Linked DNA regions of Canis lupus familiaris. The protein of the gene in region 1 interacts with the protein of each later gene in a pairwise test. Links are inferred from orthologs where the notes say so. Each region holds a gene or a part of one and is shown on either strand. Other genes may lie near its edges.

Region 1 (4,157 bases):
CCCCTCCTCACTCACCTTCCTCCCCTTTCCAGGAAAAGGAATCCACAGAAGACTACAATGTGGCCTGCATCCTGACCCTGCCTCCCTACCAGCGCCGGGGCTACGGCAAGCTGCTGATCGAGTTCAGTGAGTAGTACCTTTGCTCCCGGCCAGGGGCCCCGGGGTGGGTACATGCGGGCCCAGGCTCAGTGCCAGTGCTGCCATTGTGCCTCCCTTGTAGACAAGCTAGGTTGCTATGATTGTTAACCCTGCTGTCACCAGGGTAGCTGGCCAGAAATAAAGGTGGGACTCTCCCAAGGCTTTCTCCATTCTCAGGGCAACTACCCTGCTTGTCTGGGCTAGGTTTTCAGCTCCTCACTCTTCCTTGGGTGAGGTTCTAAGCACCACCCAACTTTTCACAAATCTGACTCATATGCTCCCATCCAGGGAGCCATCAGCAGAAACCAGGTGAGCCACTGTTGCTCATCTGCCTGGTTCTGTGCCACCATAGAAATTCCTAAGTGAGGACCAGTGCTTCATATGCCACCATACAAATTCCTGAGTGAGGACCAGTGCTTCATTATCCCAGCTGTAACCTGAGCCTTGCAGATAGTGGATGCTCAAAATGCTAAAGTGATGTTAACTCAGCAAAAATAAGGAAGCACTGATTTGTGTGGATTTGGTCTCTGCTCCTTGGATTCAGGCAGGTCAGTCTCTTAAAGCCCACAAGGGACTCTGCCCCTCATCATCCGTGAACTCTTCTATGTCCCCCACCCGCAAGGCCCCCTTTTGCTTCCCAGCATCTTACATCACTCCACTCAACTCACCACTCACTGAACCCTTGGGATAGTTAAGTTCTGACCTGAGAGACAGGAGGGAGCCTTAGCTGTTTGGTGAAGTCACAGTGGCTTGACTTGATAAGGTCATGATCCATTTGAGTTATTTTATTAATAGAATGATGCCAAGATGGGGTCACATTCTCAGGAAGCCCTCAGCCTGATATGTGGGCGGATACTTAAAATGAATCCAAGCCTTGAAGCTCAGACCTCCATGGAGATAGGATGTGGGCAAGGACACCAATGTGATGTGCTCACTTCTGCCCAGCAGGAGCAGACAGGTGCACTGGGAGTGCCCATTCCGGGCAGTTCTTGAGGGCAGGTGGATGTTCACTGGGGAGGGGCCAGGAGCTCCTTGCAGCTGGGGAGGCTGATGTGGCAGGATCCCACATGCACTGGCAGGCCCAGCAAAGTCAAGTAGGGACCCAGGTGTGCTCCCTTCCTCTTCCAGGCTTCCTTTCTCTAAAGCAGGAGCTTTTCTGTCCCTCTCCCCAGCAGGCTGCTTGGTGGAAGTCACAGAAGATTGGGCAAGACTAGCTGATAAAGATTGGGAGGGGTAGGCAAAAAGGGCTGTGAGCCTACATAGCTGTGACTGAGGGTGAAGAAGGGCTTATAGAGGTAATGAAGGACACCCCAGGACCCTGAGGGAGAGAATGAAGACTCTGCCAAGAGACACGAAGCCATATAGGATTTTGCACAGCCTGAGGGGCTCCCTAGGAACTGCCTGCTAGTGCCCAGTAATCAGCAGGGTAGAGGAGGACAGAGCAGTCGGAGAGTGCCTCTGGAGAGGTGAGTTACCTGCTGTGGAATGGCCGCCTTCTGACCTGGGAAGTACATTAGTGCCTCTCCTTGCTTCTTATCAACACCTAGTCAGGCCAGCCTGGTCCTGGAGCAGCCAATGCTCCCCAGGTCACAGCTAGGGGGACTGACTTGACTGCAAATCCAGACATCCTGAGGCCCAGACCACACGTGGGGGCTGCCTTCCCTTCTCACATACCCAGGAGATATGGTCTGGAATGATGAAAATCAGGCACTTGCCTTTCTTGTCATTTTCTCTGCACTTCCCTGGTTCCTGAGTTTTTCTCCAGGTGGATTATAGCTGTTCCTTTCAGTACCCTCCACAGCACAGAGATGAAGAGTGAATGCTCATTAGCTCTCTGGGGAAACAGACACAGCAGACTAGCTACGTATGTCAGGTCACAGAACTACCACATGGCAAGGGTGAGATGGGAACCAGGCAGTTTACTCCTGTAACCATATTCTGAAAGTTGCATGAAGGTGTGATCGCTTACCCACCCCTTCTTGCTGCCTTGCTGTAGGCTATGAACTCTCCAAAGTGGAAGGGAAAACGGGGACCCCTGAGAAGCCCCTCTCAGACCTTGGCCTCCTATCCTACCGAAGCTACTGGTCCCAGACCATCCTGGAGATCCTGATGGGGCTGAAGTCAGAGAGCGGGGAGAGGCCACAGATCACCATCAAGTGAGCCTGGCCCTACCTCTGACCCTGGGGGTGCATGGCATGGCCCATCCTCATTCCTGGGGCTCCTGGGGGCTTGGGGCAGAGAGGAAGGCCTCCAGAGGACCTGATCCTTGTCCTCCCACAGCGAGATCAGTGAAATCACCAGCATCAAGAAGGAAGATGTCATTTCTACTCTACAGTACCTCAATCTCATCAACTACTACAAGGTAGGGAGGCAGGCAGGGGGAGACGTGTGTGTAGGGCTGCAGAGTGTGCACCCCACATGGGCTGACCCTTCCGGTCCTATCTCCCATCCAGGGCCAGTATATCCTCACACTGTCTGAGGACATCGTGGATGGGCATGAAAGAGCTATGCTCAAGCGGCTCCTTCGAATCGACTCCAAGTGTTTGCACTTCACTCCCAAGGACTGGAGCAAGAGGGGAAAATGGTGACCAGGCACTGTCTATAGCAGTGGCAACAAAGCAGAACTGGGGCTGACAGCACATCCCACCCCCACCAGGGCCCCCAAGAGGCACACCAAGGGAGGTGGGGCTGAGGACAGCTTCATAAGGAGAGGACAGGCCTGGTAGGGGCTAGCTGCCCAGCACCAAGGCGAGCTCAGGGCTCAGGTCAACTCCAAGGTCAACTGGCTGCAGGTCTGGGCCTGCTATGAAGCAGGGACTGGACGGAGCCAAGCAGCTATGTACAGTGAGATGGGGGGTGGGTGCACTCTGTACAGAGGGCTAGTGGCTGTAAAAATTTCTTTTGTAAGGAGTTGGGAGGAGGGGTGGGTACTGGCAGCAAAATTCTGGCCTCTTGCCCTCACTGCTCCTTGGCAATAAATCATTTCTATAGACTGAGCCATGAAAGTTTCTTGTGGGAGAAGGGGTAGTGCCAGCTTAGAAGACTCCAAGGTGCCCACAAACTCGCAGGTGCTGTGAAGAGCTTGTTTATTGGGGTGATGGAATCAGTGGTTCCAAAATGAAGAGCTGGTTTATTGGGGTGAAGGAACCAGTGGCTTTCAATTTCAAGTTCCGGCTCTCAGTCTTCAGGCACCTGTGCGTGAATCTGCAACAGGAGTCACCTCTACTATTGGGTTTTTGACACACACTGGGTGGCCCACATACTCTGGGAGTGACCCAGCTACTCAGAATGACAACCCCTTCTAGACCAGTCAGAGGTAGGGAAGCGCCCCTGCCCCTGACCAGTCTAATCCAGTCAGACCCAGGCTCCTTGTACCCCATTGTACTCCCCGGCCCTGAAGCCCCAAGTCCACTCGGACAAGATTCTGGACAGTCCAGGGAATACCCTTGAAGGCACAAGGGAATGGATGGGGCCTGAAGAGTGAGGTCCCATCCCCCTACTCACCGCTGCGGCCAGACTGGGCCAGGTTAGGGCCCCGCGCACTTTGGCGTCCGGACCAGGAATGGTCTCCAGACCCCATAGCGTGAAGCGGCTGAAACTGGCGATGGCTCCGATAAACTGGTCCTGAGGAAGGGGCCCGGCTCAGCATGAGGGCCACCGCTGCCGCCCGCACCACTCTCCAGCCCTGCCCCTCCACCCCCGTGCTCACGAAGTCCCGCTCCAGCGCCTCGCGGGGTTCTGCCCGCTCCTGCTCCTCTCGCTCGTCACCCTCCGAGAAGTCCTTCTCCATCGACACCTCTCCCTGCTCCTCCATCGCCATCACGTATCCCACGAGGCCAGGAGGCACCACCACCTCCTCGCCTCGTAGTTTGCGGCCCCGAAACGACACTTCGAGTCCTGCAGAAGGCAGGCTCGGGACCTCGGTACGGGCTTGATTCAGGGCTTGCGGGGCAAGCCCCCCGGGGCCCTCCCGCCACCTCCGTTGGACCACGATCCCCAGGAGCCCTCGCGCCACTCCT
Region 2 (5,007 bases), on another chromosome or scaffold:
CGCCAGCAGGAAAGCTTGTTCTTTCCTACAGTGTATATATACCTCTTCCTCAACCCTCAGCCAGCTCTTAAATGTAGTCCACTGTGTTCTTCCTTCTGCCAGCCATTTTACAATCTCTGCTTACCAACTTGATTGCAAATGCCACAAGAGTGCACACAACCCCATGCTGAGCCCTTTTTAAACCCCGAAGACCTGTCTGTGAAAATGGGAATGCAACAATGATGTCCATAATTCCCCTGGGAATTACCTTTTCTCTTGGTAGGATTCCAAATCATAGCTCCACATTTTACTCAAGAAAATACTCTGTCCTTCTCATCAGAAACATTCCTGTTATTTTTCAGTCTACCAGTGTAGGTGGATCATTTCCACTGTGTTTTCCAGATGCCCTAAGGGTAGCACATCCCATGATTTTTTTTCTAAAGGGGCTTACCCTTTCCAAAGCTTTTTAATGCAGAGTTCCCCTGAAGATGTGACAGGTGAGAAACTTACCCCTCATTTGTAACACCATCTTCAGTGCCTGACAAACATCCTGCAATGCCAGTTTCCTTCACAGCTTTATTGTTTAACACATTGAGCTGTGCACGGAAGGAGCACTTCACACTCTCGCTAAAATACGACACCTGCCACTTCCCTGGCACAGCAGCCTTACAGCAGGAGAGCACCACACATTTTCTCCCAGAGCCATTTCTGGCTCTTATACTTTTGTCCTGTTGTAATTGAGAGTTTTTTGGGTTTGTTCTTTTATAAAAATGCATTTTTACCCATTAGATATTGGTGTTTGTAGTTTAGTCTAATTTTTTCAGCTCAGTAAAGAGATGCCATGAGGTCTGGTAATCTCTTTGTAAGAGTACCAATCCAGAATTTAATAGCTCACTAATTCGGCCTTCAATGACTAGTGCTATGTTCATTGCAAACCTAGAATGATCAGGTTTGATTATCATCACCAGCAGCCCTTCGGATAGAAGGAATAAAATTCTCAGAAAAAACATTTTGGTACTTCTTATTTGTTGAATCATAAAAATGTCAGTTGGAAATCTGGACCTATTTCCATTCAGTGGCTACTTAAATACATTTCACCTCTATTATGTCATGAGCCCCTCCCCCACTGTTTCCTCCCACGAATGTTCTGCCCCCCTTGCCTTCAGCATGCCTCTCTGTGAGTTGGAGAATTTTACCAATCCACTAATAACATTTGTTTCTTATTTCTGCACATCTAGGATGACAGCACTAGCCATAGTGACCACCAAGACCCCATCTCATTAGCTGTGGAAATGGCAGCAGTCAACCACACTATCTTGGCATTGGCCCGACAAGGAGCCAACGAAATCAAGACAGAGGCCCTGGATGACGACTGAGCAGGGAGGGTTGAACAGGAGAAGTTAACTTAGTTTAGACGTAGCACCTTAGCAGACTTTCCTCGGTCCTTAACATGTGTTCTTACAGTATAACTTGCAGTTTCTTGTATGTCAGTTAGCCGTTAGGGTCTTGTTCTGTGAAGATGGCATGGTGCCCTCAGCCTTTGCATATACTCTCTCAGTATTAATTCCCAGTAAATAATAACCAACCAACCAACCAAACTTCCCTCTCCCAGCCCCCGAGGCTAGAAAATCTTGCTGCTCTGTCTTAGCATTCCAAGAAAGTGCTTCCAGGTATTTAGATAGCCCTCAGTTCTCCAATATTAGGCTACGTGTAAAACCTTGGGTACCTTTAGATTCCTGTAACACTAGTCTGTACCTTTTTCCTTCCCCAAGACTGATAGGATGCAAGCTGAGGTAGTGTGGCCCAGGATTGACAGACACCATTTGGGGAGTGTCCACAGAGTAAAAGGAACACTAGAATTCCCACTCAGGGTGGGAATAATTGATTTCCAGCTGCAATAAGCCGTGCCTCATAATAGTCACACTGTGGCTAGATTATACTTCTTTGGGTGCTGTGCTAAGAATGTCCATGGAAAAACTTGATCTCAAATTTTGGTTGATGTTAACATGCCTGACACAGACATCCTTTCCTCTCACAAGCTGTGTGACTTAGTAGATAAAATACTGCCTTCTGCCTTTGGGACCATGATTCAAACAAAAAAAAGACAAAAAACAAAAGTCATTAAAAAAAAAAAAAAAACCCAGCTTGAGAGCATTGGAAAAAAACATGAGCTGAATGTCTAATGGATGTTAAGTCCAGTTCTCAGAACCACTGTACATTACATGGCACAGGTGTGTGCCTGCCTGGAAAAGTGCTGGAGGCCATCATGGAAGCTGCTCTGCCTCCTGTTTATGTCCCCTTTCCCTGCTACCAAAAAAAGTCAAGGATGGAGCTAAGGTCACAAATGACTGAATGAACTTCCAGTCTTTGTATCCATTTACTGAAGCCCCCTCAATATGAGAGGTTGATAGAGGACTTTATAGTGGGATTATGCTGACTGACTATCACAAATGCAAATACTTTCCTAAATAGGAGCAGAAAAAACAGGGGACAATTGCCACTTACGTGGCGGGTCTTCAAGATACAACGTGATGTGACTGCTTTGGTGTTCTCTTTACTCTGTCCTTGTAGAGGTGTGAAAAGCTATATTGCTACAGGCAATTTATTTAATAATTGGAAGCCATATTGATAATGGATGTGGTAATATTTGTAAAGTTTAATCTACTTTAAGCGGCAGTAACTAATGGAATTTTTTTCCTTGATCACATATGTAGCACTTTTGTTACTTTTTAAAGATATTTATATTTGATAAATCTTTTTTTCATTTTGAGAACTCAAAATACCAAACAGTGAACTTGCGTTATAAAGTCACCCTGTGATCACCTTGTCATCTAGTAGCAAAATGATGAACTATTCATGCATCAAAGAAAATTACATCTGCTGGCCTTGTATGAAAATGATCTCTTGGCATCCCGATTAAATGACACACTGTCACTGTGGGGAAGAGGAAACCGCCTTCGATGTAGCGGCGTAGGGTGCGTCTGAAGGAGGCATGACTGCTGTATACTTTCTGCTTCGTTCCATCTCTCCTTCCTACGCATGGTGAAGCCTTGCGGGGCTGGCTATTCAACAGGGCTTCTGTCCTGTCATCCATTACCTGAGAACGATTTCTAAGATGGAAAGAAGGTGCCATTTCCTTACCTCTTCACCCCTCCTCCCCCACCAAATGTATTCAGCCTAAAACCATTGAGGGAGAGAAACTGACTGACCTTTGTTTTGCCCTTCCTCATTAGTGAGATATTAAATTAAATACCCACCAGTTTTTAGCTGGTCTGACTCCATGTAAGGCACGTGCTGACAAGGGCTTCTCTGTATCTGTTTATCCTCCTTAGGCCAGTGCGCGGAAGCCTTCAAGAGGGCACGAAGATGCCACCTTATATGGGGCTGTGACTTTAAAGAGCTGTAGGCAGGGACTGGGCCTGCTTTTGTCTGTGGATTTCAGGCAGAAAGTGTATGTGCTTCTTCCAGCTTCCAAGAACTGAAGTAAAATGGGGTAGTCTTTTCTGTTTTACTGTATTACTTGAACCAACCAATTCAAGAGTAGCATTTGTTATTCTCAGGAATGATCCCCCTGCTCATTTTCTTTCTTAGTGTGTTGGACTTTTTATTTCAATTAGGAGATTATGTTATCTTTCTTTCCTTTTATATTACGTAGAAGAAATATAACATGTTGTATCTTTCCATTTCGGTGGAATTTTGTCTGCTTATTCTCAGTTGACTCAAAGAAGTGAGAAAACTATACTGTCTGACAAGCCACATCCATGATTTATTGTAAGGAGATTATTATAATTGATAGCTTCTTTATGATGGGATTGTCAGTATCATTTGTTCTTGCTGGTCTTTTTAAAGAAACAGACTCAAACTGTTAGGACAGCTGCAGTTTCTAAAGAAATACAGTGATTGCCAGAGAAGAGCTAAAAGGTTTCATTGTTTTAAGGCCTTAGGGATGGGGAAAAGCTTCAGAGAATAAAGGAGAGTCGGTATCCATGAAAGCAGTACAGGGCCCTATCTGGCAACCTGGAAAAAAAAGTGAAAGAACATGTCTACTGATGCAAGATAGCTTCATATTGGGTTCAGTAGGAACAGGAAGAAGGAATCTTTCATCCAGAAATCTTCTTTTAATTGAAGAAGACTGCTGGCCTGCTCTTAAGACCCACTGCCTTACATATAACTTTTGCTTTTTCACCAAGAGCAAAGATATAGTTCTTTGGGGCCTAGATTTAAATCTACCATTGTTGATTTGTTTTTTGGGGTTTTTTGGTTTTGGGGTTTTTTTTGCCACCAGGTTGAATTCAGCTGTCTTGTCCAGGTTACCTTAGTTCTTATAATGGTGTATACAGTTGCCACTGTCTAAGTTGTGATGTCTTTGGATAGTGAATTTGTTTTCTTAAGCTTTTTCAGGTTTGGTGGTATTTAAATAGGAACCCTAAACTGCTCTCTTACTGAAGGGAAAAGAGCCAGGGCTCTGAAAAAATCCTGTTGTGTGCTTTTTGGTTGTTGTGTCCCTCTTCTCTGGCCCCATAATGTACCTCCCTCAGGCCCCAGAGGACTTTCAGGACTGCTCTTCCATAGTAAGGAAGACTGAAAGGGGGGATGGGGAACCTGGTCAGCAGTTCTTGTAACTTGTCTGTTATTTTTCAAGGTCACTTTCATTGAATTACTGTAGTCACGTGGGTAAACTTCCTACTCTTCTTACAACACAGCCTTACAAAGGGACCTTCGAAAGATGGACCATCCAAGTGAGATTTCTACCTTGCTTTTGATAACTCTAACATAGATTGAAGGCCAAGGAGGGCAGTAGGGTACACTCTTAGCTGAGACCTTCTGGTGCCAGTCAGTACCAAATAGACATTTTGGTTTATTTCAGGTTTATTTCAGCAAAGCTTGTAATTGTTGAGTACCCCTTAGGGCAATTTTCTTCACAGTCTGAATCCTTTAAGTGGTTGGTCAGTGTGGTCACCTTCCACCTACCTATGGAATCTGTCTAGTTCCCATACATTGGCCTCGGGTGGGACAGACACCCCCCAC
Region 3 (5,007 bases), on another chromosome or scaffold:
GAAGAGCTAATGAAAAATGTTAGCTACAACCCCCTTTTGCTTCTCACACCACAGAAAGTTAAAAGATATGTTGAGTCTCTATGGAAGAAGAAAAGCTCTGGACAACCTGTCACCTTTACCGATATCTTTGGGATGTTAATAGGAGAAACACTAATTCACAATGTAAGCTATGATTCAACCTGCAGTCCTTTTGATACAAATAGACTTTGTATATCATAATACTTTCATAAAACAAAATGATACATCTTATAAAAGTCACTTGACTCACCTGATCCTATCAACAATGTGTACTGAGTACATACTCCCTGCCAGACGTAACATTTCTACATTTCCAACTAGTTCTTACTCATTCTGTGTAATAGTTTTGATGTAGCGAGGTACTTTTGGGTTCTTTTTCTTTGGAAAAATACACATTTTAACCCTTAACTGCCCACCCCCACGCCCAATGGCAGTCTTTTTAAATAAGGAGATGAATACAAGTAATAATGGTAGAGGAAAAATAGAGGTTGCTGAAAAGAGAGTCAGAAAAGGGAGTGAGTCACAAGAAACAAGCCCATTTGACATATGACAACAGTGTGACACTTCAACTGAAGATAAAGTTGGGGGAGATAAAGTCTGTGCCAGAGAATCTGGGGTCCAGACTCTCTTCTTCATAGCTTCATAGCTGCCAAGTTGTTCTTCATTTCAAATGTAGACATAGCCTTTAAACTTGTGGTTGTTTTTAGAGTGAAGATAATTACCTCCCTAGAGCATACTTTTGTTGTATATTAGGACCCAGAGATTTCTAGAAAAAAATAAGACTTATTTTTATTATAAAAGTTTTAAGTGTCTTGATTGCAAGTACTATTTTAAGTAGCTTCCTATCTGTATCTGTTACTATATTTAAAACCATGTATTTCTTCTGTGGACAGAGAATGAACACTACTTTGAGTAGTCTGAAGGAAAAAGTCAGTTCTGGTCAGTGTCCTCTACCTCTCTTCACCTGTCTCCATGTCAAACCTGATGTTTCAGAGCTAATGTTTGCAGGTACGAAATCTCCTCTTTCAAAACGTTTCCTCGAACCTTTGAACTGTTGGTTTGTCATGATTGTCATTAGAGGAAGTTCATAAGCAATTTTAGTTGTCTGTTTTTGTATATTTTCTGTACCATAAAAACAGTCGAAGATACAAGAAAATATTAAGCTAAATGATTTTCTGATGGTAGAGAATATTCCATGAAATTAGGTACTAATATATCTTCATTTAAATTAGTGAAATAGAAATTATGAAAAAAAGTCCTGACTGTAATCTCAATTTTCATTACTCAGTTCTCAAGGACTTTTAACAAAATAGTGTGTCTCGTGCTTTTAGGCAATGCATATTCTTTTGCTTACTGCTTATATTTTCATTAAATTGGATAACATATGTGATTATCATTAAAAGCACTTTTATAATTTTTATAATACAGTACTTAAAAAGTACGACTCTATACTTGTGGCAGATGAGGAACAAAATGCCCCATTTTGTTAATTCTCAAATGTAAATATTTGTTTCTTCTACAGAAGCTTTGCCTCTTGCTGGGTGCTCTAAAACATGTAACATCATGCTTCTGGGGGCTTTGGCAGTCCTAGTCTGCAGTATGGAAGCATTTCTGACTACAGCTAGTAGGGTTCGTTGTAATTTTAGGAAAAGTACCTCAAGAAAACCAGTCACACCATAAGAAAAAAAAAGTCATTGTGAATGGCATGAAATTAACAGATTTATTTCCAGAAACATTTTGCAATTTTACAAAGTCTCACTTTATTCAACTGACTATTCTGAGGCAAGAATTTTGAATTATTTATAAAAAGCAGTGCACCCGCAATTCATTCATTCAAATGTTTACCAGTTACATTGACTAAAATATCCATTATGCTTATGGCTCAGAAATCACTTATCATATTTATTATCCTATTCAATTTTGCTACAACTCAGGAAGTGAGGTCTTTTCAGCTGTGCTTCATAGAAGAAAAAAACAAAACCTCAGAAAGATTAAATGATTTGTACATTGCCACACAGAAGTAAGTAGCAGAGCTGAGATTTGTTTTCAAAAATCCTTTGTGTTTTTTTTAACATTTTATTTATTTATTTATTTATTTATTTATTTATTTGACAGAGAGAGAGAGAGCCCGCACATGCGCACAAGCAGCGAGAGTAGCAAACAGAGGGAGAGGGAGCAGGGAACCCAATACTGGGCTCGATCCCAAGAACCAGGGATCATCACCTGAGCCAAAGGCAGGCACTTAACTGACTGAGCCACCCAGGCACCCTTCCTTTGTTCTTTTTATTAAAATATTAGCTTCTCTGGTTACTGACTATGTAAAATATAGTATGCCAGGTGCTAAGCATGAACCCCCCTCCCCCAGCACAGTATATTGCCTCTGTTCTATCAGACCTTATAATCTAGGAAATTTACCATAATTATTAAAGAATTTAAGGCACAAGGAAGAAGTTACTATGCATTATTCCTGTGACTAAGTTACATGACATCTGTTAGTCTGTTTCCACATCTGTTAAATAAGGATGAGACTGTCATAGTGTTTCTATAGATAAATGATATGAAGTATGCAAAGTACATAAAACACTGGCAGGCCCGAATTAAGGTTAAGTAAATCTTAAAAATTTAGTGCTCTATGAAATCTATATGAGAAATCAGAGGTCTGGATCTTAACTACAAATAGGTTTTCTATATAAAAGGCAAATTTAATTATTGGATGAGGATAAGGCGTAGATTAGGAGTCTAGGATAACCATGGCATGCTCAGCATTAATAAAGAGCAAGATCTTGATTGTAATGTTTTTAGAGAGAATTGAAATTTTTGCATGCAAGAAAAGTAAGTGCCATGAGGAAATTGACTTTGTTTTGTTTTTGCTTTCCTATAGCTATTGTTTTGTGAGGTCTTGGAATGTTTGCAGATAGGTTGATAAATCCTACTAGTATGCTTGTCAAATATGTGCATAGCCAAATAAGCCATTTTACCCCAAAAGCATTATGATATGGTCAAACAAGCCCTAGACTAATTTGAAAGTCTTGTTTTAAAGCTGAAATACCTTGGTAGGCCATTTAATCTCTCTGATTTTTATTTTCTTCATTATTTAAAAAAAAAAGATGGTATTAGTAAATATCAGATTTATCTAACAAAACTATTAAGACAATCACATGAAGTAGGCAGAAGATGACACATCATAAAGAGACAAAATATGATAGTGTCACTACTATCGTTAAGATTGTTAGGACATTTTCATAGTCACCTTTTTTTATTCTGAACTTTGAGGCCAGTAGCCTATTCTCAATGGAAAATCTGATCATAATCATTAAGGAAGAAGTAATTTTAGATTCCCCTAGAGTGGGAAAGGCTGTTTTATGTTCAGCTAGTAACCTTCTGACCTCGATGTGTCTGATTTGGGCCATCTGCCTAATTACGATATTGTTACTGAGATGAGAGATACACCATTAACCTTCATTGTGAAGCTTTTATGATAAGGAGGTTCAAAGCTCTGTCTTCCAACAGAGTTGGACAAAGCCATCAAGCATTAGTTATATGGATCTTGTACCCAGATAAGATATTCAAAGATGTTATGTTATGAAGGTTCAAGTAGCTTGGGTTATTGAGGGGAGGTGGGGGAAGAGCCATGTCTATACTTTATTCCTTTAAAGTTTGCTCAGATTAAAAATAGATATTCAGGGGGAAAATAGCTGCAATATTATCTGAATAATATTTTTAAATGTCAAAGAACCAAATTATCTTAGCTTACAAAAGTTTTATCAACTTTGTTTCACAATATCAGAGAATGTTTTTCTTCCCTTCAGAATAGTTTTAAACATTTTCTTCTTTTGAAGATTTTAAACAAATAAACATTAGATGTTTAAACTGTCAAATATTTTTGCCTCCTTCACTTACTACATTGCTTTCATTTTTACGTTTCCATTGGTCAGTAAATTGCATTTACTGAGCACAACTTAGAGAACTCCACATCATGTTAAATTCTTTGACAGACTATAAGAGTAGATATATAGTATTATATAGTATTGTATATATAGTATTCAGGAAAGTTATAATCCCATTAACAAGACAAAAATAAAACATGAAAAATGAATGAGCCATACACATAGCATATTACGATCTATTAAAGTGTGTAGAACCGACATGAGAGTAAGATATCATAGACATTTAGTCCAGTCATAAGGACTTCAGGTGGATAATGGAACTCAGATTTCCTTTGAACATACATGGGTCTATCAAGAGAGATGAATAGTTCTTGTTGTGTGAAATACCATGAGAAAATACTCAGAAGGGGAGCCCAAAGTATGTTTTTGAGAGCAGTAAAAAGAAATTGGCCTTATTATGAGTGGGTGAAGGTGGGTGGTGCATTTGGGAAAATTATTAGTGCCAAATTATAAAAAGATCTGAATTCCAGGGAGAAATCTTTTTATTCAGTTATAATGATAATGGGAAATATTTTGATGTTTGGGGGCAGGACAATAAATTTTTTAAGTAGTGTTTTGGGAGGAAAAAAGCACTTTGGTGATTCATATGGGTAGATTAGCAAGGAAAGAAGCTGGAAGCACCACTATCACTCTGCTTTTGTAAGTGAGTGAGTGATGTGATGTCAGTTTAAAAAATTCCTTTTTGGGGCTCTAATAGTGTACGGAAATAGGTAAGATAGACTGGGAGGAAGGATAAGGAGTTCCTTTCCAGATAAGCATAGTGGGATGTGATGACATTGTGTCTAAGCTTAAATGCGCAACAGGAAGTTGGAAATGAGTAGATGGAGGTACAGGAGAGAGATTCAAGTTTGAAATGTACGAGTCAACAGCAAAAGGAATAGTCACATACTCGTATGGTGAGTCCTTCAGTAAAGACTAGAGCGCAATCTCACCTTGAGAATGTCTGTAATTACTGTGTGCACGCACCATAGCATTAATAAGGAAGAGATTACTCGAGAAATTATTGTTTCAGTACCCAAGATAAGGGGATGAAATTCAGAGA
Region 4 (5,007 bases), on another chromosome or scaffold:
TAATGATATCATGAATGTTAAATTTTATTTTGCATTTTTTAGAAAGTCTTGTCTCTCCAATTAGTCTGAATCTTGTGTTCATCTTTTTTTCTTTAAAGATTTGAGAGAGAGAGTGAGCATGAGCAGGGGGAGAAGCAGAGGGGGAAGGAGATAGACTCTGAAGCAGACTCTGTGCTGAGCACAGAGCCTGATGAGGGGCTCTATTCCACAACTGTGAGATCATGACCTGAGCCAAATCAGGAGTTGGACATTAACTGACTGAGCCACCCAGGCACCCAGTGTTCATCTTTTCTGACTACCTCCCCAATGCCTTGAACATAGTAAATCATCAGTAACTATCCATTTATGTGATTCTTCCTTTGTCTCCTTTCTCTTCTAGTCTTTTACCTTCTCTTGGAAAGGCTAGGGCATGTTCTAGCCCATCTTCCTTGCGAGGAATTAAAGTGGGGTTAGCACAGTGGAGCATCTGGTTGGCTCAGTCAGTTAGGTGCACTGGGAGCCCGATGTGGGATTCGATCCCGGGTCTCCAGGATCGCGCCCTGGGCCAAAGGCAGGCGCCAAACCGCTGCGCCACCCAGGGATCCCTTCAGGTCATGATCTTATGGGTCATAGGACAGAGCACCCCACATTGGGCTCCCTCCTCAGCAGGGATTGAGAGAATTGAGTGATAGTGTTGTCTTAATATACCTATCTTATAGGCCTGAGTCTCTCCAGTTTATATCTTAGTAAATGTTAATTTTGTAAACCATGGTTAATTATGTAATCCTGCTTGAGGATTCTCTTCTTCTGCCCCTCCCACAATTGGCTTATTTGCTCTCTCTCAAATAAATAAATCTTTTTTTAAAAAAATATCTTATTTATTTGAGAGAGTGAGAGAGACAGAGAGAGAGAGAGAGAGAGAGAGAGAGAGGAGTAGGGGGAGGGGGAGGGGCAGAGAGAGAAACAGACTCCCCGTTGAGCAGGGAGCCTGACATGGGCTCTATCCTAGGACTCCAGGATCATGGCCTGAGCCAAAGGCAGATACTTAACCAACTGAGTCATCCAGGAGCCCCAATAAATCTTTTTTTAAAAAGGTTTTATTTATTTATTCATAAGTGACACAGAGAGAGGCAGAGACATACACAGAGAAGCAGGCTCCTCACAGGGAGCCCGATGCAGAACTCAGTTTCTGCACCTGGGATCACGCCCTGAGCCAAAGGCAGACACTCAACCACTGAGCCACCCAGGTGTCCCCTCAATAAATCTTTTTTTAAGTGGGGTTAGCACTGTTTCCTATTACTGGGAGAACCCTCTGACAAGCAATGACTGGGTTTACATAATTAACCATATTTACATAATTAACATCTACTAAGATATAAACTGGAGAGACTCAGGCCTATAAGATAGGTATATTAAGACAACAACACTATCACTCAATTAAAATGTTTTCTATTTTATAGCTCTATCTGATCCCTATATAAAAAGGGAAAGAGAAATTAGCCTGAACACGAAGACTCTTTCATCAATTACCAGTATGTTTTCATTAATTTTTTTAAATTCAGTATCATCATCGTCATTTTGCTGTCTTGGAATTTGTTATTCTACTTCATTCTTTTGACAAATATTAAGCACACATTATGTATCAGGAGATTCCTTGGGATATATCCGAGAAAAAAAAGATAAAACTCATAGAACTTATACATTCTTACTCATATCTTCTGTATCATTTATACTTCATGCAACAAGGGTTCCGTTGACAAATACTGTTACTGAATCATGAACAGAGGTAGTGCTATATATATTATTGAAAAATCTAAAGATCAGGGATGCCTCAGCAGCTCAGTTAGTGTCTGACTCTTGATTTCAGCTCAGGTCATGATCTCAGGGTTGTGAGCCTGTTTAGGATTTTCTCTCTCTCTGCCCCTTCTGTCCCCACTCAAAAAAAAAAAAAAAAAAAAAAAAAAAAAAAAGAAAAGAAAGAAAGATCTAAAGATTGAAGAAGGGAATAGAAACTAAATATTAATGACTTTAGCAATTCACCTTTCAGTGAACTACTCAACAAAAACTGAAAAACCTGAAGATACATGATAAAGAATGCAAAATAACTCTAGAAAGCAAAGAAATGTTTATCTTCCATGGATAGACATGATAAGTAAAAGTAGTATTGGCTGTTATTGAACTACTAACTGTTCTATAAAACAGTTATGGAGATGTGGACAGTTTTGAGAGAAGGAAAATGATTTAAAATATGAAGAGGAAAAAATCCCCAATTAAAGTGGAATGAAGGATAAAACATTGTATCTCAAGAGGAGTAAAAGGCCAGGAAAATCTGCAGCATGGAAATACCAAAAAGAGTAAGATGAAGGTAGAACAGGAAAGGACCTAGAAGTGCAAAATAGATCCACTCCAGATTTTCAACATGGCAACAGGTCTAAAAGTCTTTAGCAAAACTTTACAGGAGGCAAAGCTTATAGTAATGACAACATCAAATAGGTAGTACTTAAAACCAATATGGTAAGTAACAAGTTTTAAATTCAAGTTTTAAATAAGGTAAGCTTGGGATCCCTGGGTGGCGCAGCGGTTTGGCGCCTGCCTTTGGCCCAGGGTGCGATCCTGGAGACCCGGGATCGAATCCCACGTCGGGCTCCCGGTGCATGGGGCCTGCTTCTCCCTCTGCCTATGTCTCTGCCTCTCTCTCTCTCTCTCTCTCTCTGTGACTATCATAAATAAAAAAATAAATAAATTTAAAAAAATAAATAAGGTAAGCTTTACAGCTAAAACAAACAAACACACAAAAAAAATGAAGCCTAGTCCTTTAATAAAGCCCAGAGGAAAAAAACAAAAACAAAAACAAAAACAAAAAGCGCAGAGAATCCAAGAGATTTTCAAAGCATGTAAAAAATATTCAACCCCTTACCTTTAGAGAAGTCAGTTGATCTGCCCACATTTCTACTATAGGAATAAGATGCTCAAATCCACAATCTCGAACAAAATCTTTATTAAAATGTTGGGTTCCTCCTTTGCTCTGTTTATAAATTATTACTGGAGCTCTTGGATTATGAACAATTGAATTGATGCTACTCAGAACCTTAAAAAAAAAAAAAAAAGACCATGCTTTTAGTTGAAATGTTTATCACAGTCCTATCCAAAATGATTTAGGTTAAAGGAGTGCTTTCTATGTCAATATATCATCATTTTCAGAATTATTTTTAGGCATTAAGAAGTTCTTTAACAGGAATGACACATGTAATGTTTTGGAAGTATAGCAGTTTCATCAACATAATTAAACATATAAGTTCTAATCAGAACCACAGTCTTCACAGAAAAGCTAAATGCATTTTCAAATGATTTAGACTTTAAAGTAAGTTATGAATGCCCTATTATAATCTACACAGGGAAAAAGAATCATCAATACATTCTTAGCTAGAATCTCACATTTCTCTAATTCTATCTCCTTATATTTAAGTTAAATCAGATGTTTAAAGGGAGCATATCCTGTTGTTTCGTAACCTCAGTTAAAGTTCAAAGTGAGGACAATGAATACTAAAGTCCAACACATTCTATAGAGAAATCCTGTAAACATCATGCCAATTTTGGAAACCCCAAACCCAATGCAGAGAACTAATCCTTAAAATGCTGTTCCTCTACAACCATTCTCAGTACCAAAATCTGTATTATCAAGGTTCTACAGAGAAACAGAAACAATGTATATGTATATATCTAAAATGATTTATTATAAGGAATTGGCTCACATAATTATGGAAGCTGGTAAGTCCCAATTTCTGCATTAGGCGAGCTGGAGATCCAAGAGAGCCAATGGAGTAGTTCTAGTCTGAATGCTCACAGGCCTGAGACCCAGGAAGAGACAGTTCAAGTTTGAAGGCAGGAAAAAAACTGATGTCCCAGCTCAAAGGTAGTCACGCAAGGGGAACTCCCTTTTATTCAGCCTTTTTGTTTTAGTCAGGCCTTCAAATGACTGAATGAGACTCATTCACATTAGGGAAGGCAATCTGCTTTACCCAGTCTGCAAAATCAAATGTTAATCTCAATCCATAAACATCCTCACAGACATATTCAGAATAAAATTGACCAAATATCTGGGAAACCTATGGTCCAGTCAAGTTGATACATAAAATGAACCATCATAAATACCCACATAATCACTACCTAGATTCAACAATTGTTAACACTATCTTATATTTGCTCACTTAGCTGAACCTCCTAAAGAAAATACAGACATGATAAAACTTTACCCTCAAATACTTAAGGGTAAGTATGTTTCTCTTAGAAGTAGGCACATTCTCCTGTTTAAATCCTAAAACCATTATCATACAGAAGAAATTTAACATGGGACACCTGGGTGGCTCAGCAGTTGAGCGTCTGCCTTTTGGTTCAGGGTGTGATCCCAGAGTCTGGGGATTGAGTCCCACATCAGGCTCCCTAAGGGGAGCCTGCTTCTCCCTCTGCCTATGTCTCTGCCTCTCTCTCTCTGTGTCTCTCATGAATAAATAAAATCTTAAAAAAAAAAAAAGAAATTTAACAGTAATTCCCTAACATCATTAATGCCTGAGTGAATTTTAAATATCTTAATATGTGACTATAGCACTCTGCCAAAAGGTATGAGTTCTACCTTACATATCATCCAAGGAAAGGAAGGGAAGACCCAAAACAGCAAGTTTAAAACAAAGAAGAGGGCAGCCCTGGTGGCTCAGTGGTTTAGCACAACCTTCGGCCCGGAGTGTGATCCTGGAGACCCGGGATCAAGTCCCACGTCAGGCTCCCTGCATGGAGCCTGCTTCTCCCTCTGCCTGTGTCTCTGCCTCTCTCTTTCTCTCTGTGTCTGTCATGAATAAAAAAATAAAATCTTTAAAAAATAAAAATAAATAAAAAATAAATAAAACAAAGAAGAGTAAAGCCATTTTCTTATTTACCACCATCAAGCCCAGAGCATATAATAAATAGCTATATAAGTATAAGAACAAGATACTCTTTTGATCTCAAATCTTTGTCCCTACTCATACTTCAAGC
Region 5 (4,429 bases), on another chromosome or scaffold:
TTGTGATCTGCAAGGTCAGACCATCTGAAGGACCACGTGGTTGGGGCTATGCAGGATTGCTGGCCTGGTATTTCCAGAACTTCTGGCTTTTCAAGAGATTCTCCATATCCCAGTTTTTAAATGTCAGACTATATTTTTAATTCTGCACCAGCCAAATAAAGCATATCTGTAGGACAAAGCAGTCCATAGGCTACCACTTTGCCCCCTTGGCCATAGCTCATTCTTATCATCTTTTGTTTTTAAGTATGAAACTTAGTTTGTATTTCATTGCCAGGGGAATGTATGTATTGGGTTAAATACCCAGTGTGTGTGTAAGGTTCCTTCAAGTGGCCAGCCTAAAGCCCTGCTATGTGATTCCTCTTCTTTGCAACAATTAAGAAGAGCATAAAGCAATTCAATATGTACTGTTTTTTAAGTAGATACATTTTTCTCCACCTAGGGTCCTGCAGCTTCGCAGCTAAAGCCTTAATCACATTTCAAGTCGGTCTGGTCTATTAGCCCAGCCATTCAGCAGGTGCTGCAGAGGAAATGGAACATGAGTGGCCATTTGTTAGTAGAATATGGGTTTTTTTGTCTGCTTAGTCACCTTGGCCCAGGTCAAGTTGGGTGTTTTTTTCTCCAGTATTTTAAACTAACAATTTGAGTGATGTTCTCAGGACAATAATCCTACTGTTATTTCATATCTGTTGTTCTATCTTCATCCTATTTAAACTGATACTACCCCTGACGGGCATTACCTTATCACTTCTCCCATCTGACCAAACTAGGACTTACTCATTTTATTATTTAATTTTAAATCCCCAAAACCCTTTTTGAAGGTCTAATTATGAAGAGTACCTGCAGTATGCACAATTCTGCACAGAGAAAATTTTAAAAATCCAGTATCTTTTTTCATTTTTCATCAAAGTTTACTCTCTAAAATAGAAGTTCACTGTGATATAATGGACAGCGACATGTGAGACTGCAATGTCCCAGCTTGCTTTGATGGTAGATTTTGCTGCCTTATTTCAAAAGCCATACAACCAATCTGATTTCAAAGCAGAATGCCAGCAATCGCTAAAACTGAAGTTCCTTCCTTTTTTTTTGACATATGAAATCCATTAGCAAAGAGCAACTACTGAGGCATACAGTAGTGCTCTCCCCATCCCTAGCCTGTAAAGCACATCAAGATGAGGTTCTCTTTATGACACAGTATACCACAAGCGGCGCTTAGGATAGACTGGCACCCGAACTTTGCATACTGGTGTTGGCTTTTGGCCAGGACCATGCGTCACAAAGGTCAAGCATAAACTTCCATTTGCCTTACAGCAAAATTGTATTATCTTTTATAAGAGATACCACCTAGGTGATCATGATCTTCTGACACCAACTTAATCTAATGAACCAACTTCCTGCAAGAGCAAGAAGCATGAACAGGAACCACAAACATACATGCAGAGGCAATGGCAAGAAGGCACAGCAAATGCAGGCACTTAACTAGCACAGACCACAAGTCAGGCTTGCGAGAAGAGAGATTTAATATAGCCCACTTGCTACTCTCAAGTGTCTTCACCCACCAGTTCTGAGGGCAATAGAAAGGCACACCAGCCCAACATGGTAATTTAGTGGGAAGCCGAAGCTTCCTTTTGCTTCCTGCTGCTTAGCAATGAGTCTCTTCACTGATTTAAGTTCTGCAGGCAGATGTGGGAGATGTAAAGGTTTTAGTTCTGGTTTGTATCAAATTATTCTCCCATTTACTGCTGAAGAGAAGCAGAGCCTTCTGAGACTTCCACTGTTGTCTGTTCAACTGTAATGCTTCCTTGGAGGTGGGGGCCGATTCTTAATGGTCTTACACTTGGGAATGTGGCGCTCAGCCACCTTGGGAGCAAAGTGGCGGCTGCAGTGTGGACACTGAATATAATCTGGATTTTCTGCAGGTAGAATGGGTGGCAAGTCTGAGGGGTTTCCACCTTTGGCAATTACCTGCTGGACCTCTCGGGCCTGACGGAGAGTACGGATGAAAGACTCATGCTTCTGTCTCCAGTTGCTCTTCTGAGGAGGTTCAGCCTGTAAGTAGGAGGAAGACTGATTATTTGACTTGGCATTTACCACATCTCCTTCTGAGTCTTCATCAGAATGACAGTAAGGAAATGTAAAGGATGCTCTCCCTAAGGTCAGAGAGAACAGGACAGGAGCAACAGAGCTGACTTGCCAGAGTGGAGGCACTAAGCTAAGGGCCTGCCAGGGGGGATGGTACTGGGAGGCTTGGTGTTTACAGGTAGAGGCAGGGGAGAGGTGTGGGGCTGAGAATAAATTGGATCCCTGGGGCCCCGTCCCATCTTGCACATCCAAGAGTCTGTCACTTCCAGCAGTCTCACAGGAGAACAGAGGTCTATTCTCTGTAGAAACTGAACCAGACAGGTTTCACACGCAGGAAGTCCAGACATAATAGAGAACAAGGTTAATACTGAAGCTGAAAATTGGGATTAAGTGCAAGTATACATGATAAATTATGGAACTGTTTGATATCCTGGGAGCCGAGGAATCAACTCAGCTCCCAGGATATCAAACACATTGGCACCCTCACAGGAGACAAGAGTTCTCTGGTTGCACCAAGCAGTCAAGAGAAAAGCCATTAGATGCTGGCCCTGCATGACCCCAGTGAAAAGGTTCACTATTTGAGGCCTTTAATCAACAAGCCTCACTTAAGCTTAACTATGAATGGACAGCCTGGGGTCACCAAATATTTGAGTAAAGCTCTAACAAGAAAAAAACCAAAACAGGTACATGAATTCTCTTTCTCTCTCTCTCTCTCTCTCTCTCTCTCTCTCTCACTCACTCTCAGGAAGCAGCAACAAGGCAAGTAGAAGAAAACTTAAAACCAGAAAGCCAGAAAGAACTATTATAAATTAAAACTGTGATAACTAAGGGGCGCCTAGGTGGCTCAGTTGGTTGAGCATCTGACTCTTGAATTTGACTCAGGTCATGATCTTGGGGTCATGGGATTGAGCCTCACATCAGGCTCCACGCTCAGCACAGTCAACTTGTTCCTCTCCTTCTGCTTCTCCTGATTATGTGCTTATACTCTGTCTCATAAATAAATGAACAAATAAATATCTTTATTTTTAAAAAGACCACTTAAAAAAAAACATAGCTAAAAATAAAAATAGCAGTGTTTAAAATGTCAAGAAAATTAGAATGGGAAAAAAAGATCAAGATGGGAAGTAGAAAAGATTAGGAAATTAGAAAGTCAATCCAGGAAGTCCAGCACCTGACAAAAAGGAGTTCCAAAAAGAACAGAAAAAGCAAAGGAGGAAATTATTAAATAAATAATACAATAAACATTCCTAGAATTAAGGTCACTGTCTTGAAATTGAATAGCCTACCAAGATTCCAACACAATCATTGAAAAATTTTGGAATTTCAGAATAAAGAGTGAATCCTGTAAGCTTTCAGAAAAAGAAACACCAAGAGAAGCTTCATATAGTGGCGCAGGAAGCAAAATGGCATCAGATTTCTCAACGGTAACACGATGCTAAAAGCTAGTGGGAAAATGCCTTAAAAATTCTAACAGAGGGCGGCCCAGGTGGCTCAGCAGTTTAGCGCCGCCTTCAGTCCAGGGTGTGATCCTGGAGCCCTGGGATTGAGTCCCACATCAGGCTCCCTGCATGGAGCCTGCTTCTCCCTCTGCCTGTGTCTCTACCTCTCTCTCTGTCTCTCTGTCTCTCATGAATAAATAAATAAAATCTTAAAAAAAAAAAAAAGTTCTAATAGAAAATCATTTTTTCTTTTTAAAAAGATTTTATTTATTTATTCATGAGAGAGAGGCAGAGACACAGATAGAGGGAGAAGCAGGCTCCATGAAGGGAGCCCGATGCGGGACTTGATCGTAGGACTGGATCCTGGGACTCCATCCTGGGACTCCAGGATCACACCCTGGGCCGAAGGCAGGCGCTAAACCTCTGAGCTACCCAGGGATCCCCTGAAAATCATTATCTACCTAGAATTCTATACCTAGTCAAATCAACTATAAGGTTGTTGTATGGATATTTTCATTCATTTTGAGACAAAAAATATGCCTCCCATGCACGTTTCTTGAAAGCTTCAGCAAATCAAGGAATAAAGCAAGAAAAAGGAAAACATAAGAAGCTGGAAATAGGACCCGATACAGAAAAGAAGTAAAAAAAAGAAGTCCCAACACAACAAGTCTACACTAGACCTAGAGAATAAACAGTCCAGACTGGTGCAGGAGGAAAAAGAGTAGTGGGAGGAAAGTTTCCAGAATTAAAAAAAAAAAAAAATCAAACTGATGGATTAAGTATTAGTGCACTTATAAAAACACTACTAGGTATCTGACATCAGATGAATCATTTAGGGGAAAAAAATTAGAGACAGGTATGTAGGGAACCAAGCAAATAAAAACCTGAGTCAACTATTAATTCCAGGTACA

Evidence for each region. The genes of interacting proteins can lie anywhere in the genome.
Region 2: the proteins of KAT5 (region 1) and HMBOX1 interact in binary tests that used the Homo sapiens proteins (3 or more experiments, as listed by UniProt). The two-hybrid records come from large-scale screens. The link is inferred for Canis lupus familiaris from reciprocal best matches to the Homo sapiens genes KAT5 and HMBOX1.
Region 3: the proteins of KAT5 (region 1) and PLA2G4A interact in a two-hybrid assay, tested with the Homo sapiens proteins (2 studies listed by BioGRID). The link is inferred for Canis lupus familiaris from reciprocal best matches to the Homo sapiens genes KAT5 and PLA2G4A.
Region 4: the proteins of KAT5 (region 1) and CEP70 interact in binary tests that used the Homo sapiens proteins (3 or more experiments, as listed by UniProt). The link is inferred for Canis lupus familiaris from reciprocal best matches to the Homo sapiens genes KAT5 and CEP70.
Region 5: the proteins of KAT5 (region 1) and ZC2HC1C interact in binary tests that used the Homo sapiens proteins (3 or more experiments, as listed by UniProt). The link is inferred for Canis lupus familiaris from reciprocal best matches to the Homo sapiens genes KAT5 and ZC2HC1C.

The regions. Positions count from the first base shown.
Region 1 is NC_049239.1:52,000,316-52,004,472, reverse strand, and holds the end of KAT5 (histone acetyltransferase KAT5), read left to right. Parts: intron 1-32; coding exon 33-126; intron 127-901; exon of another isoform or gene 902-1,861; coding exon of another isoform or gene 1,862-1,972; intron 1,973-2,134; coding exon 2,135-2,294; intron 2,295-2,418; coding exon 2,419-2,500; intron 2,501-2,591; coding exon 2,592-2,726; 3' UTR 2,727-3,134; downstream 3,135-4,157. Other genes in the region: RNASEH2C (ribonuclease H2 subunit C), read right to left, coding at 1,862-1,972, 3,643-3,762, 3,848-4,035. UniProt on the Homo sapiens protein: Catalytic subunit of the NuA4 histone acetyltransferase complex, a multiprotein complex involved in transcriptional activation of select genes principally by acetylation of nucleosomal histones H2A and H4.
Region 2 is NC_049246.1:28,663,628-28,668,634, reverse strand, and holds part of HMBOX1 (homeobox-containing protein 1), read left to right. Parts: intron 1-1,217; coding exon 1,218-1,355; 3' UTR 1,356-2,954; intron 2,955-5,007. UniProt on the Homo sapiens protein: Binds directly to 5'-TTAGGG-3' repeats in telomeric DNA. Associates with the telomerase complex at sites of active telomere processing and positively regulates telomere elongation.
Region 3 is NC_049228.1:19,792,884-19,797,890, forward strand, and holds part of PLA2G4A (cytosolic phospholipase A2), read left to right. Parts: coding exon 1-162; intron 163-911; coding exon 912-1,026; intron 1,027-5,007. UniProt on the Homo sapiens protein: Has primarily calcium-dependent phospholipase and lysophospholipase activities, with a major role in membrane lipid remodeling and biosynthesis of lipid mediators of the inflammatory response.
Region 4 is NC_049244.1:35,247,344-35,252,350, forward strand, and holds part of CEP70 (centrosomal protein of 70 kDa), read right to left. Parts: intron 3,068-5,007; coding exon 2,897-3,067; intron 1-2,896.
Region 5 is NC_049229.1:48,493,333-48,497,761, reverse strand, and holds the end of ZC2HC1C (zinc finger C2HC domain-containing protein 1C), read right to left. Parts: intron 2,047-4,429; coding exon 1,783-2,046; 3' UTR 1,500-1,782; downstream 1-1,499.